3 linked regions of the Callithrix jacchus genome follow. The protein of the gene in region 1 interacts with the protein of each later gene in a pairwise test. Links are inferred from orthologs where the notes say so. Each region holds a gene or a part of one and is shown in the gene's direction. Other genes may lie near its edges.

The links.
Region 2: the proteins of LDLRAD1 (region 1) and MALL interact in binary tests that used the Homo sapiens proteins (3 or more experiments, as listed by UniProt). The two-hybrid records come from large-scale screens. The link is inferred for Callithrix jacchus from reciprocal best matches to the Homo sapiens genes LDLRAD1 and MALL.
Region 3: the proteins of LDLRAD1 (region 1) and BNIP3 interact in binary tests that used the Homo sapiens proteins (3 or more experiments, as listed by UniProt). The two-hybrid records come from large-scale screens. The link is inferred for Callithrix jacchus from reciprocal best matches to the Homo sapiens genes LDLRAD1 and BNIP3.

The regions. Positions count from the first base shown.
Region 1 is NC_133508.1:91,206,253-91,210,490, reverse strand, and holds the start of LDLRAD1 (low-density lipoprotein receptor class A domain-containing protein 1), read left to right. Parts: upstream 1-1,438; 5' UTR 1,439-1,475; coding exon 1,476-1,496; intron 1,497-2,035; coding exon 2,036-2,087; intron 2,088-4,238.
Region 2 is NC_133515.1:21,272,423-21,275,922, forward strand, and holds part of MALL (MAL-like protein), read left to right. Parts: intron 1-1,521; coding exon 1,522-1,689; intron 1,690-3,500.
Region 3 is NC_133513.1:125,276,604-125,280,103, reverse strand, and holds part of BNIP3 (BCL2/adenovirus E1B 19 kDa protein-interacting protein 3), read left to right. Parts: intron 1-3,047; coding exon 3,048-3,198; intron 3,199-3,500. UniProt on the Homo sapiens protein: Apoptosis-inducing protein that can overcome BCL2 suppression. May play a role in repartitioning calcium between the two major intracellular calcium stores in association with BCL2.

The DNA.
Region 1 (4,238 bases):
TGGCCAGGCTGGTCTCGAACTCCCAGGTGACCCACCTGCCTGGCCTCCCAAAGTGCTGGGATTACAGGTGTGAGCCACCATGCCTGGCCTCCTCTGGCCATTCTCAACCAAGACTGGCAGGAGCTGGCAGATTAATACCCCAGTTCCCCCCACCTTGAGAGGGATCACTGAGGTGCATCTTTGCCCCTGGCTTCCCCGAGGGCCCCAACAGGGCTGAACTCCACTTGCCCACAGCAGGAACCTGCGTTTAAGGATCCTTCTCTTTCCAGTCTCATTTCCCTCATTCCCCGACCACTGTTTCCTGGGATCACTCCCAGTTAAATCTACTTGCCCTCGAATATTGTCTTAGAGTCTGATTCTGGGGAATCCTAAACTAAAACACCCCCTTCATCTGGTTTATATCTTCATTTTATGGATGAAGGATCGGAGGCACAGGAAGGGGAGTGAATTGCCCAAGTCAGAGCCAGTGGTAGGGCCCTACTGAGAGCCCCGTTCTCCTGGTCTAGGTGTCAGCTCTGCGCAGTGTTACTTGCTGCCTCCCAAGGGCTGCCCCTGCACCTGCCCCTCCTACTTGCACCCACATGGATTCAGCATTTTATTTCCCAAAGCAAAAGAAAAGGCTGATTGCAGGTTGGAAAATCTATGGGCGTCAGAGGCAGGTGAAAGGGGATCCTCCCTAGAACTCTTGAGCTCATTTCTGGAGGTAGCCATCTCTCCTTTCTTGGTCTGGGTCATTGGACTTGGCCCTCAAGCTTCCAGGTTTACTCAGCAGTGGGACAGGCTGCTAGGGAAACCCACTCACTGGGAGCGTAGAAGGGGTTATTCAGGCAAGCAACCAGCCCCCCTCCTCTTCCCTACTTCGGGTGCCACCTCAGGGACAGTAAAAATTCACATTGCCACACTTCTAAAGAAAATAATTTAAAGTTATATTTGCTTTATACTTTTAGCGGAAAGTGCATATTCTTTCAATCTGGATTACCTGTGTTGTTTAACAGAAAGAACAGCAATGAGAAAATGACCCCTGCTTTCTAGCCACTGAAATGTTAATTCCGGGAGTTTCTACCTGCATCTTCATCCCCCTGGAACCAGAGCTCCTCCGGTTCTCTCGCTGATGCGGAGGAAAAAGCACTCTTGAAAAGTTTCTGGGTTTCACCCCTCCCACCTACTGTGCGACCTGGGGCAGTTTCTCCCTTTCTGAACCTCTGGCTCTTCATCTGTGGATGGGGATGAGGATTCCAGCCTCGCAGTGTTGCTGTCAGACGGCAGAGAAGGAAACAGCCTGGCCAGAGCAGGGCCCTCTTGCCCTTGCCTCTGCTTGGAAGGCAGCTGGGAGGGAGGGGGCTGCCCACAGGGAGGGTGTGGCCCAGGCAAAGCTCCTGCCTGTCCCTCCTCCAGGCTGCCCCTGGTGACAAGGCAGGGAACCCATGCTGAGCTCTCTGCACACAGCCCCAGTCAGGGAGCTGAAAGCCGAAGACATGAACAAGGTCTTCCCCGAGGTAAGGGCTGCCTGGACCAGGCTCCTGATCTTGGGAGAGCAAACCTTGGGATGAGGAGTGTGGGCAGTAGAGAGTGGGCATACATGGGAGACATGGAGGAAAATCAGCCCCCGTCCTGGCCCGGGGCTCACTCCCAGGGTGTAGGGGGCCCTACCAGTGACCCAGCTGTAGAGTCCAGGTGGCAAGTGCTGGGACGGACACAGAGGAGCCGGGTGGACAGGAAGGGAGAGCGTTAGCTTTACTGGGTATCAGGGAAAGCTTCACCGAGGAGTCGCTGCCCACGCCAGTTTGAAGGATGAATATTTGCCAGGTGGACAGCAGAGGAAAAGGCGCCCCAGACAGAGGGCCCAGTGCAGGCAAAGGTGTGGAAATGGGAAGCCGGCATGAGGCATCTGGGGCGTTGAGCGTGCTGGGGTGTGAGGGAGCCACGGTGCCACCGAAGACTCTCGGTGACCCCTTCTGAAAGCCCTGCTGTCTGCCTCCCTGAGGCTGGACCTCACCTCACCTAAGCCCACCCCTCACTCTGTTCTCTTGGGCAGGGAGAGAATGGCCGCATTGCTGCTGGACCCAAGGCCCTCCCTGGAGGGGAAGGTAAAGAACTGAAGGGCCCAGGGCCAGTGCCCTGTGGGGCTCCCTTGAAGCTGGCAGTTGGCTATAGAGGCATGAGGAAGGTTGGAGGATTCCAGGCTCCCGCTGCCCCTCAGACCTCTGCCCCATGTTAATGTTGTCTGCTCCCAGCTTCCTGGTCAGATGCTGACAGTCACTTGCTTAATAGGGTTATTCATTCTCTCCATGCACACATATTTATTAAGCACCTACTGTGTGCTGCCGACCTCACAGGCACCAAACTGCATTCAGTGCCCACCTGTAATACAGCATCAAACTGACTCAGTGGGTGACCTGGACAATTCTCTTTACCTCTGAGACACATTTATTTAGCCCTACTATGTGCCGCTGGCCCACAGTGTGACCAGAACAGTTCTCTTTACCCTTCTGAAGATAGAAGGAAGAAACAGACATGTATTGAGCATTGTATATGCCCTGGCGTGGCCCACATTTGATCAATGAGGAGACACACCCAGAGAGGTAGATGAAAATACCAACTATAAAGGACCCAGTACAGTTATGTGCCTGGCACTGCATGGCCCCTTTAATCCCCAGGACAGCTCTGAGACAGGGGCTCTGTCATGGGGCAATCACAGATAAGGCAGCTGAAACTAAGAGAAGTTGGGTAACCAGGCCAAGGTCATACAGCGGGGAGGCCGGAGGGCCAGGGTTCAAATGTGAACTGAGGTCTCTCTGGTTACAAAGCCCCAGGGCTTTTGTTGCCGCATACCGGTGTTTGTTTTTTTCCAAGTCCTGACTCATGACGGGTGTGGTTGTGGCAAGAATAGCCTCCTTTTCCTCATCTGTGCAGGGAAGGGACTGGCACCTAAGGGCTTTCTGGCTTTGAAGCGCAACAGCTTCACCTGGGCAGGAGCCTTGGTTCTGCCGGTTCTCCCGTGGCAACATCTTGCACGTGGTCTGTGCTGCACAAATATTTGAGGAGCTGCTTGGCTGACCAGCACACCTCTCCCTGCCCAGAGTCACGCTGCCTCCCTGGTTACCTGAGTTTACCCTGTTTGCTGACGGCCACAGAGCCACCAGCTAGGGCTGTAGGGATGACGGGGTTTTAGATTCCTGCTGCCTTGAATACCATCGTATCCCTCCCAGCGCACATCCATCCTGGAGCCCCGCCACGCCAGGCCACTTGTGCTCCCCCACCTGCAACCACCAGACCTTTCCACTTGCCACGCCCTCTGCCTGGAAGCCCCTTTCTTTGCACCATTCCCTTACCTGCCTGTGGAAATCCCACCCGGCTTCTGAGGACCCTGCATCAGAAATGTGAATGGATTGAAAATAACTGACCCATAGTGGGGGCCTTCCCTTGTCTCCTGGACCCCTGGGCTAGCATATTCACAGAGTGTTCACAAATCTCTGGGCCTGGCACGGTGGCTCACACCGGTAATCCCAGCACTTTGGGAGGCCAAGGTAGGTGACCACCTGAGGTCAGGAGTTGGAGACCAGCCTAGCCAACAGGGTGAAACCCCATCTCTACTGAAAATACAAAACTTGGCCAGATGTGGTGGCAGCCACCTGTTATCCCAGCTACTTGGGGGGCTGAGGCAAGAGAATCTCCTGAACCTGGGAGGCAGAGGTTGCAGTGAGCCGAGATCATGCCACCGCATTTCAGCCTGAGCAATAGAACGAGACTCCATCTCAAAAAAAAAGAACCCCCCCGCAAAAAAAAAGCTCCCACCATGTGCCTGGCTCTGGGCTGGGTCCTGGGGTCACAGGGTGAATCATACCTGCCCCTGCCCCTTTCTCTGAGGTACCTGTGGCCTGGGCAGGTCAGTAGCTCCCACGCTCCTTCAGACATGTCCATGCTTTGCCTTCTAAGTGCAATAACAAGCTGCAGAGGGCAAGGACCAGAGCTGGAGCCACACAGCGGGGCACCAGGAGGTCCTTAGTAAAGGCTTCTGTTATTATTTTGTAAGCAGGAGAGAATTAAAGTACAGTTTTACAAGAGCAGGGACATCCCCTATCACTGTGATTTCCAGTGCTTAGAATAAAGCTTGGCACGTGGCAAGTCCTCAACAAGCAATAACAGCCCAGACACAGCAGTGCGCAGCTGTTACAGGACTTTGGGAGGCCGAGGCAGGAGGACTGTTTGAGCCCAGGACTTAGAGTGTGCAGTGAACT
Region 2 (3,500 bases), on another chromosome or scaffold:
ATTAAGGCTCCAGTGAATGGAATTTTCAGGTATTGAAAGTAGAATGAATACCAAGCAGGAGTAATAAAAAGATATACACATCTTGACACATTGTATCATTGTTTCACAAATTGTAGAATGCCAAAGACAGAGTGAAGACTAAATACAGCCAAATAACAAATACAGATTTCTACAAAGCAAGAGTTCAACTGACAGCTGACCTTTCAACAACAACAGTGGAAGCTAGAATGCAACAGAATAATATGGAAAAATATACAACACAGTGGAAATATATCTTGGAAGTGTGGAGAGAAAATAATTGTCAGGGGAAATTTAAGGTCATTTTCTTTTTTTTTTTTTTTAATTTTTTATTGGATTTTAGGTTTTGGGGTACATGAGCAGAGCATGCAAGACAGTTGCGTAGGAACACACATGGCAGTGTGCTTTTCTTTCCTTCTCCCCTTCACCCACATTTGGCATTTCTCCCCAGGCTATCCCTCCCCACCTCCCCCTCCCACTGGCCCTCCCCTTTTCCCCCCAATAGACCCCAGTGTTTAGTAAGGTCATTTTCTAATAAATCAAATTGACTACTCCCCACTGACCTTCACTAAAGAGACGACTAAAGGGTACATTTCAGAAAGAAAGAAAATTATCTCAGAAGGACAATCTGGGATGTAAGAATATCTTCATGACTCAAAATAGAGAAGAATTTCTTAAACTTGATAAAAAATATGATAAAGAAACAGATTGACATACTCAACAGCATTAAAATTATGGGCTTAGTTATCAAAGGAAACCATGAAGTATGTGCATGTTAGCAGCATAGATTTGCAATGTTTATGACAGTCCAAGAAAGCCGCACTATTAGCAAGAATTCCTATGAATCAATAAGAAAAAGAAAAATCTATTTTAAAATATTTCACTGACAAAAAAAACTTTATAGAGGAGAAAATATTAATGGCTAATGAATATACAAAAATAAGTTCTATGTCATTAGTAAACAATTCCACAGTGTCAGTGAGCAACTGGGAATGTGCCACAGCATGATGTGAGGTTAGTGGGGTAGGGGATATGGTTCACTGAGGACTCCAGGTCATTTTTAAAGAAACAGTCACTACTCATTCCAGCCTACTCTGGCCTGAGAAATGGGTACACTGTGGCCAGAACCATGGATTTTTAAAGAAATGTCCAAAATCTGGGCTTTTTTCATGTGAAATATCCTGTTTTAAATGTTGACAACTTATTCAGAATTGTTTAAAAGTGTATATGCCAATACTGCTTGAGCCAAGAAGGCACATTCACAGGCCAGACTTGGCCAAGAGTCCCTCTGTTCACAATCTCTGCATTAACCCCTTGAATTTTCTATCAATAGGACCTGACTTTACCGTGACTCGGAGGGGCCAAACTGACTTCCCCATTTCTCTCTTGGTTCCCTCCTCACTTCACCTGAGCTTTTAACTAGAGACAGAAAAGAGATGCCCTGCAAAGGGAAACATGCTCCACACTAGCTAATGAAGCTCCTTTTATGCTTTTATCTTCCAGATATTTGGGTTCTGGGTCTGGATCCTGGTAGCTGCCACCCAGGTAGCAAACCCATTGCTGCAAGGATGGGTGATGTATGTCTCAGTCACCTCGTTTCTCATCTCCCTGATGTTCCTTTTGTCTTACTTGTTTGGATTTTACAAAAGATTTGAATCCTGGAGAGTTCTGGTAAGAACCAGCAGCATGGCTCCTCCTGGGTGGACGTCCTGGGTTGGGTGAGGACAATTGGTCTTTCCAGGCAAATAGGGATACTGGGCTAGGCTCCTGTGGAACCAAGACTTTTTATCTTAATATGTTTACTACCAGGCCAAAATGAAGACATTTCTCTGCAGGACAAAAACTTTCCTTGTATTCCCCTTCACTGCCTTCCCTGTGAGGAGAATTTACAGTGCCTTGTGATAAAGCATATTCTGTTGTGTTTCCCCTAAATTTTCTTCCTGGTAAAATCCTTGGAGAAACACTGAAGAAAACGCTAGTAGGAAAAATATTACTCTAGTCTCAAGGCTCTATCACAATCTGTGACAAATTATTTCTTCCATCCCACATGAATTTTATATGTATATATAAATTATACTCTACAGATAATTTTGGATGTAGATGCTTTCATGTAATATTACATCATTAGTTTTTATGTTGTTGTATCATCTCAAAAAACCATTTAAAAGTATTCCATACTGAACAATTGAAGACATATTTAAAAGTACAGAATATTGTATTATAGCCCTTCATGTAGCCATAACCCAGATTCCAGTATTATCAAGATCTTACCACATTAGTTTCATCTAGCCTGTTTCCCTACTAAGGAATATTAAAGCAAACTCCAGACATCATGTCATCCTATTCCACATGCTTCCGTATGTTTCCAAAAAAACCCACAAACTTTCTCACATTATCACAGATATACAAAGTTAACAATTCCTCAGCATACCTAAGACAGTATACAGTGGTTCCCCCTATCTCTGGAGGATAAGTCCCCAGACCCCCAGGGGATGGCTGAATTCTCAGATAGTACTGAACCTCGATTATACTATGCATGCACTTCTCTTTCCTTCTTTACGATTTAACAGATAGACAATTCATTCTTACTGTAGATCTTAACGATCTCAGCGTATTTTTTTCTTTCCTTATTAAGTTGAAAGCTTTCACTTTTTCACTTAAAGAAAGCACTCTATGACTTCTCTTTGGCACATCCAAATTGCAAGCATCACTACTCTTGCGATGTGGGGCTATTATGAAGTAAAATAAGGTTTCCTTTAATGCAAGCATTGCAGTACCACAACAGTTGATCTGATAGCCTATTCACTTTGTAGATGGCTACAAAGTGAATAGCATGGATGGCATTGGCAGTGTGGATGTGCTGGACAAAGGGATGATTCAGGTCCCAGGAGGCACAGGGTAGAACAGCATGAGATTTCATGATGATACTCAGAAAGACACACATTTAATTGTTAATTTCTGGAATTTTTCATTTAACATTTCAGACCAAGATTGACACTAGAAAACCAAAACATACTGATCTTTATTAATCTGCCATTACTTACAACATAGATATTACATTTAAAACACAGTGTATTAATCTATTCTCACACTGCTATAAAGAGCTACTTGGGACTGGATAAATCCTAAAGAAAAGAGGTTTAATTGACTCATAGTTCCTCATGGTTATGGAGGCCTCAGGAAATTTGCAATCATGGTGGAAGGTGAAGGGGAAGCAAGGTACGTCTTACATGGCAGCAGGAAAGAGGGAGGAGGGGAATGTGTCATACTTTTAAACCATCAGATCCCTTGAGAACTCATTCATCATCATGAGAACAGCATAGGGGAAACTGTCCTCATGATCCAATCACCTCCAACCAGGTCCTTCCCTTGATACATGTGGATTACAATTGGAGATGAGATCTGGGGAGGGACAAAGTACCAAACCATATTATTAAGCCTTGGGCCCCTCCCAAATCTCATGTCCTTCTTACATTTAAAGA
Region 3 (3,500 bases), on another chromosome or scaffold:
TTCTGGAGCCATATGAGGTGCGGAGAGCGTGGTTAAGGTTGGGACATGTGGAGTGGCTGGGGGTCTGGTCGTGAAGAGCCTAGTTAGGGTTAGGGTTGGTACATGTGAATTTAGGGTTGGGGTTAGTTTTGGATTAGAGTTAGGGTTGGGTTTAGGGCTTAGGGTCTGGACATTTGGGATAGCTGGGGTTCTGGTCTATATGTCATTTCCATTTGGCTGCTCCAGAATTACTGTTTCTGGTAAATTGATAAATGTAAGTAAAGTGTTTTTCTGGATTCTGTGAGTTGTAGCAAACTGTTGAACCTGAGGGGGTGCGTGGGATCCCCTGAGTAGAGGGACGGGTAGAATTGTGGGTAATCTGGATGCCCCATTTTCAGCTTGCATCTGTGGGAGCAGTTTTGTGGGACTGAGCCCTTAATCTCGTGGGTTCCGACACTAACTCTAGGTAGACAGAATGGACGTGAACTGTGGACACCCCAGTGGTGGGGGTGACGGTGTTGAGTGGCATCGTGGAAGAGACACACAAGTTCCATTTGTGTTCCGTGTCATAAGATGAATAACCGTTCACCTTAGCCAAGTAAACTGAAGCAGGCCCAGAATGAGTGCTGTAGACTGAGCCTAGAAAAACAGCTGGCCAAAGCAGAGGCTGCGGTGCTGTTCCAAGGACCAGTTGGCCGCATGTCACCATCAACTCCAGAGGGAAGGAAGGCTAGTGGCATTGTAGTATCTGGAAATACTAATGAGATGAGCAGTTTCAGGGATGGTGTGATGTGTACATCTCTGATGGCACCGTGTAGCCTCTGCCAGAGTGTGGGGCCAAGTGGCCTGGGCCCTTCTCCAGTGAGCTCCAGGCTCCAAGACAGACCCAGGCCTGCCTTTGTCTTAGCGATGTTCGCGTAGGCCAGGACCTGAGGCAACGTGAGAGGCCAAAGAGAAGGATCATGCCTGCAGTTGGAAATCTGGGGTCATTTTGTTAGCAGCTTACTGGGAGGCTGCTGATGGTGTAAGTTGCAAATCCACATTTCCCTCCTGGGCCTTCGCTTTGCTTCTTTTCTGGCTAATATGAAATATACTCTGTGATAAGTGGCGCATTGAGGCTGAGCCAGGCCTCTTTCAGGAGATGCCTAGTTAGTGCGTGGAAAGCTGTGCACCTGCCTTTGCTTCCACAGAACGTGATGGATTAACAGGCTACTCCCTTCGCACAGTGGCATGGTGTTCTGTAGTGCTGTGTTGCTTTAAGGACAGTCAGCAGCTCCTGGTGCTTATTCTACTTAATACAATTATAGTGACTGCAAAATGAGATCATTCCATTGTTTTCGCACGTAAGTTTCTCAGGCTTTCATGGTCTGCCTGCACGTTCCTCCTCCTGCACTCCACCCTCCATATGCTACCAGAGGAAGCTTCTGCCAGATTTGCTTTAAATAAATAAACCTATGGCACAAAGCAGAAAAACTCCTGGGCTCAGAAATAGACCTGTGCATATATGCACGCTTGATTTCCGACAAAGGAAGCAGCCCGGAGCAGGGGTGAGGCGGGAGCTGTCTGCGGTAAATGGGACATTCGTTTCACATCAGTGGAAAAATTAATCCATGTAGATTCTGGATCTAAATGTGAATGTCGTAACAGAGCTGTGTGAAAGTCATAGAATAGAATATCTCAGCTCAGGAAGGATTGCTAAATTTGACTGAATTAAAATCTCTAGAACTTCTATATATCAGAAGACATGAGAAAAGTATGCGCTACTGAGTGAAAGTTACTTGCAATGTATTTAAATGAAGAAAAACGTATGTCTAGGATATAGGATTATCCTAGAATTACTGCACTTGAGCCATATGGGAATAGGAGCAGCGTTCGTTCTGGCCTCAGTTTCTATTTATAATGATGACATGGAAAAAATACTGCTGGATGCCCACAAATAAGAGAAGCACAGATAATAGAAAAGAACAAGAGATTTGAAGAGCCAGTTAAAAAAAAAATGCTATCCAGATGGCTAGTAAATGTGTAAAAAACGTGTTCACCCTCATTAGAAATTAAATAACTGCAAAGCCACACAATACAAGTAATAGAGGCTGGGCATGGTGGCTTGTGCCTGTGATCCCAGCACATCGGGAGGCCGAGCTGGGAGGATTGCTTGGGTCCAGAAGTTCCAGACTAGCCTGGGCAACATAGCGAGACCACGTCTCTTAAAAAAAAAAATAGCCAGGGATACTGGTACATGCGTGTAGTCCCAGTCATTCTGGAGGCATTGGCTAGAGGATGGCTTGAACCCAGGAGTTTGAGACTATAGTGAGCCTTGATTGTGCCACTGCACTCCAGCCTTGACCGCAAAGCGGGACCCTGTCTCTAAAAGAAACAAAAAATAGAGATAATATAAACCTTTGAAAGAAAACTTTAAATCCTTTAAGCTTACCTTTTTTTTTGACATGGAGTTTCGCTCTTGTTGCCCAGGCTGGAGTGCAGTGGCGCAATCTCGGCTCACTGCAACCTCCACCTCCTGGATTCAAGTGATTCTCCTGCCTCAGCCTCTTGAGTAGCTGGGATTACAGGCATGCATCACCACACCTCACTAATTTTGTATTTTTAATAGAGACGGGGTTTCTCCATGTTGGTCAGGCTGGTCTCCAACTGACCTCAGGTGATCCACCTGCCTCCGCCTCCCAAAGTGCTGGAATTACGGGTGTAAGCCACCACACCCTGGCAGGCTGTTTCTTATAAAATTCACTGTAAGGAAGTATTCTTCTAATTGGATTCTGGTGACTTGGCAGAGTTATTGGACATTGGTTTGGTATAAAGGGACCGTAAGAGATGGACAGATATGTGATCTCAACCCCAAGGGGGCTTCCTTCCTGTACCCAGGGAGAGCATGCATAGACCAGTCACTGCCATGCAGGTGGGCAGAGGGATGCCTTAAAGTTGGGGCTTAAGGGATGGTTCTGGGTGTGTCACATGCTACCTCTTGGAAATGGAAGGGCAGCTGGTTAGATAGGACGAACAGATTCCAGAATGGGTAGAAAATCCAGCTGTGCCCCTTTTTTTGTCCCCACCAGGCTCCTGGGTAGAATTGCACTTTAGCAATAATGGGAACGGGAGCAGTGTTCCAGCCTCGGTTTCTATTTATAATGGTGACATGGAAAAAATACTGCTGGATGCCCAGCATGAGTCCGGCCGGAGTAGCTCCAAGAGTTCTCACTGTGACAGGTAGGTCCACATCAACAAGTGTATGCGTTACAGTGCTAGTGTCTTCAGTAGGTGCCAGTCGCAGCTGGAAGTGCCTGTGTCACCTCTAGGCCCGGGCTGCCGCTCCCCTCAGGCCGTGTTCGGGGGTGGCTCCTGCTGCAGTCCAGCCTTATGTATAGGAGCCTTGCCCTCTGCGGGGAGGAAGCGACCTGGGACTTAGTCTGTGAAGGGGCCACGTTCGAGTCGGGAGTGAGCGTGACAGCCATCAACTTCACTCTGAGAAACGCACTCACGCCTCAGCGGGGCTGTGGTCACGGGTTAGC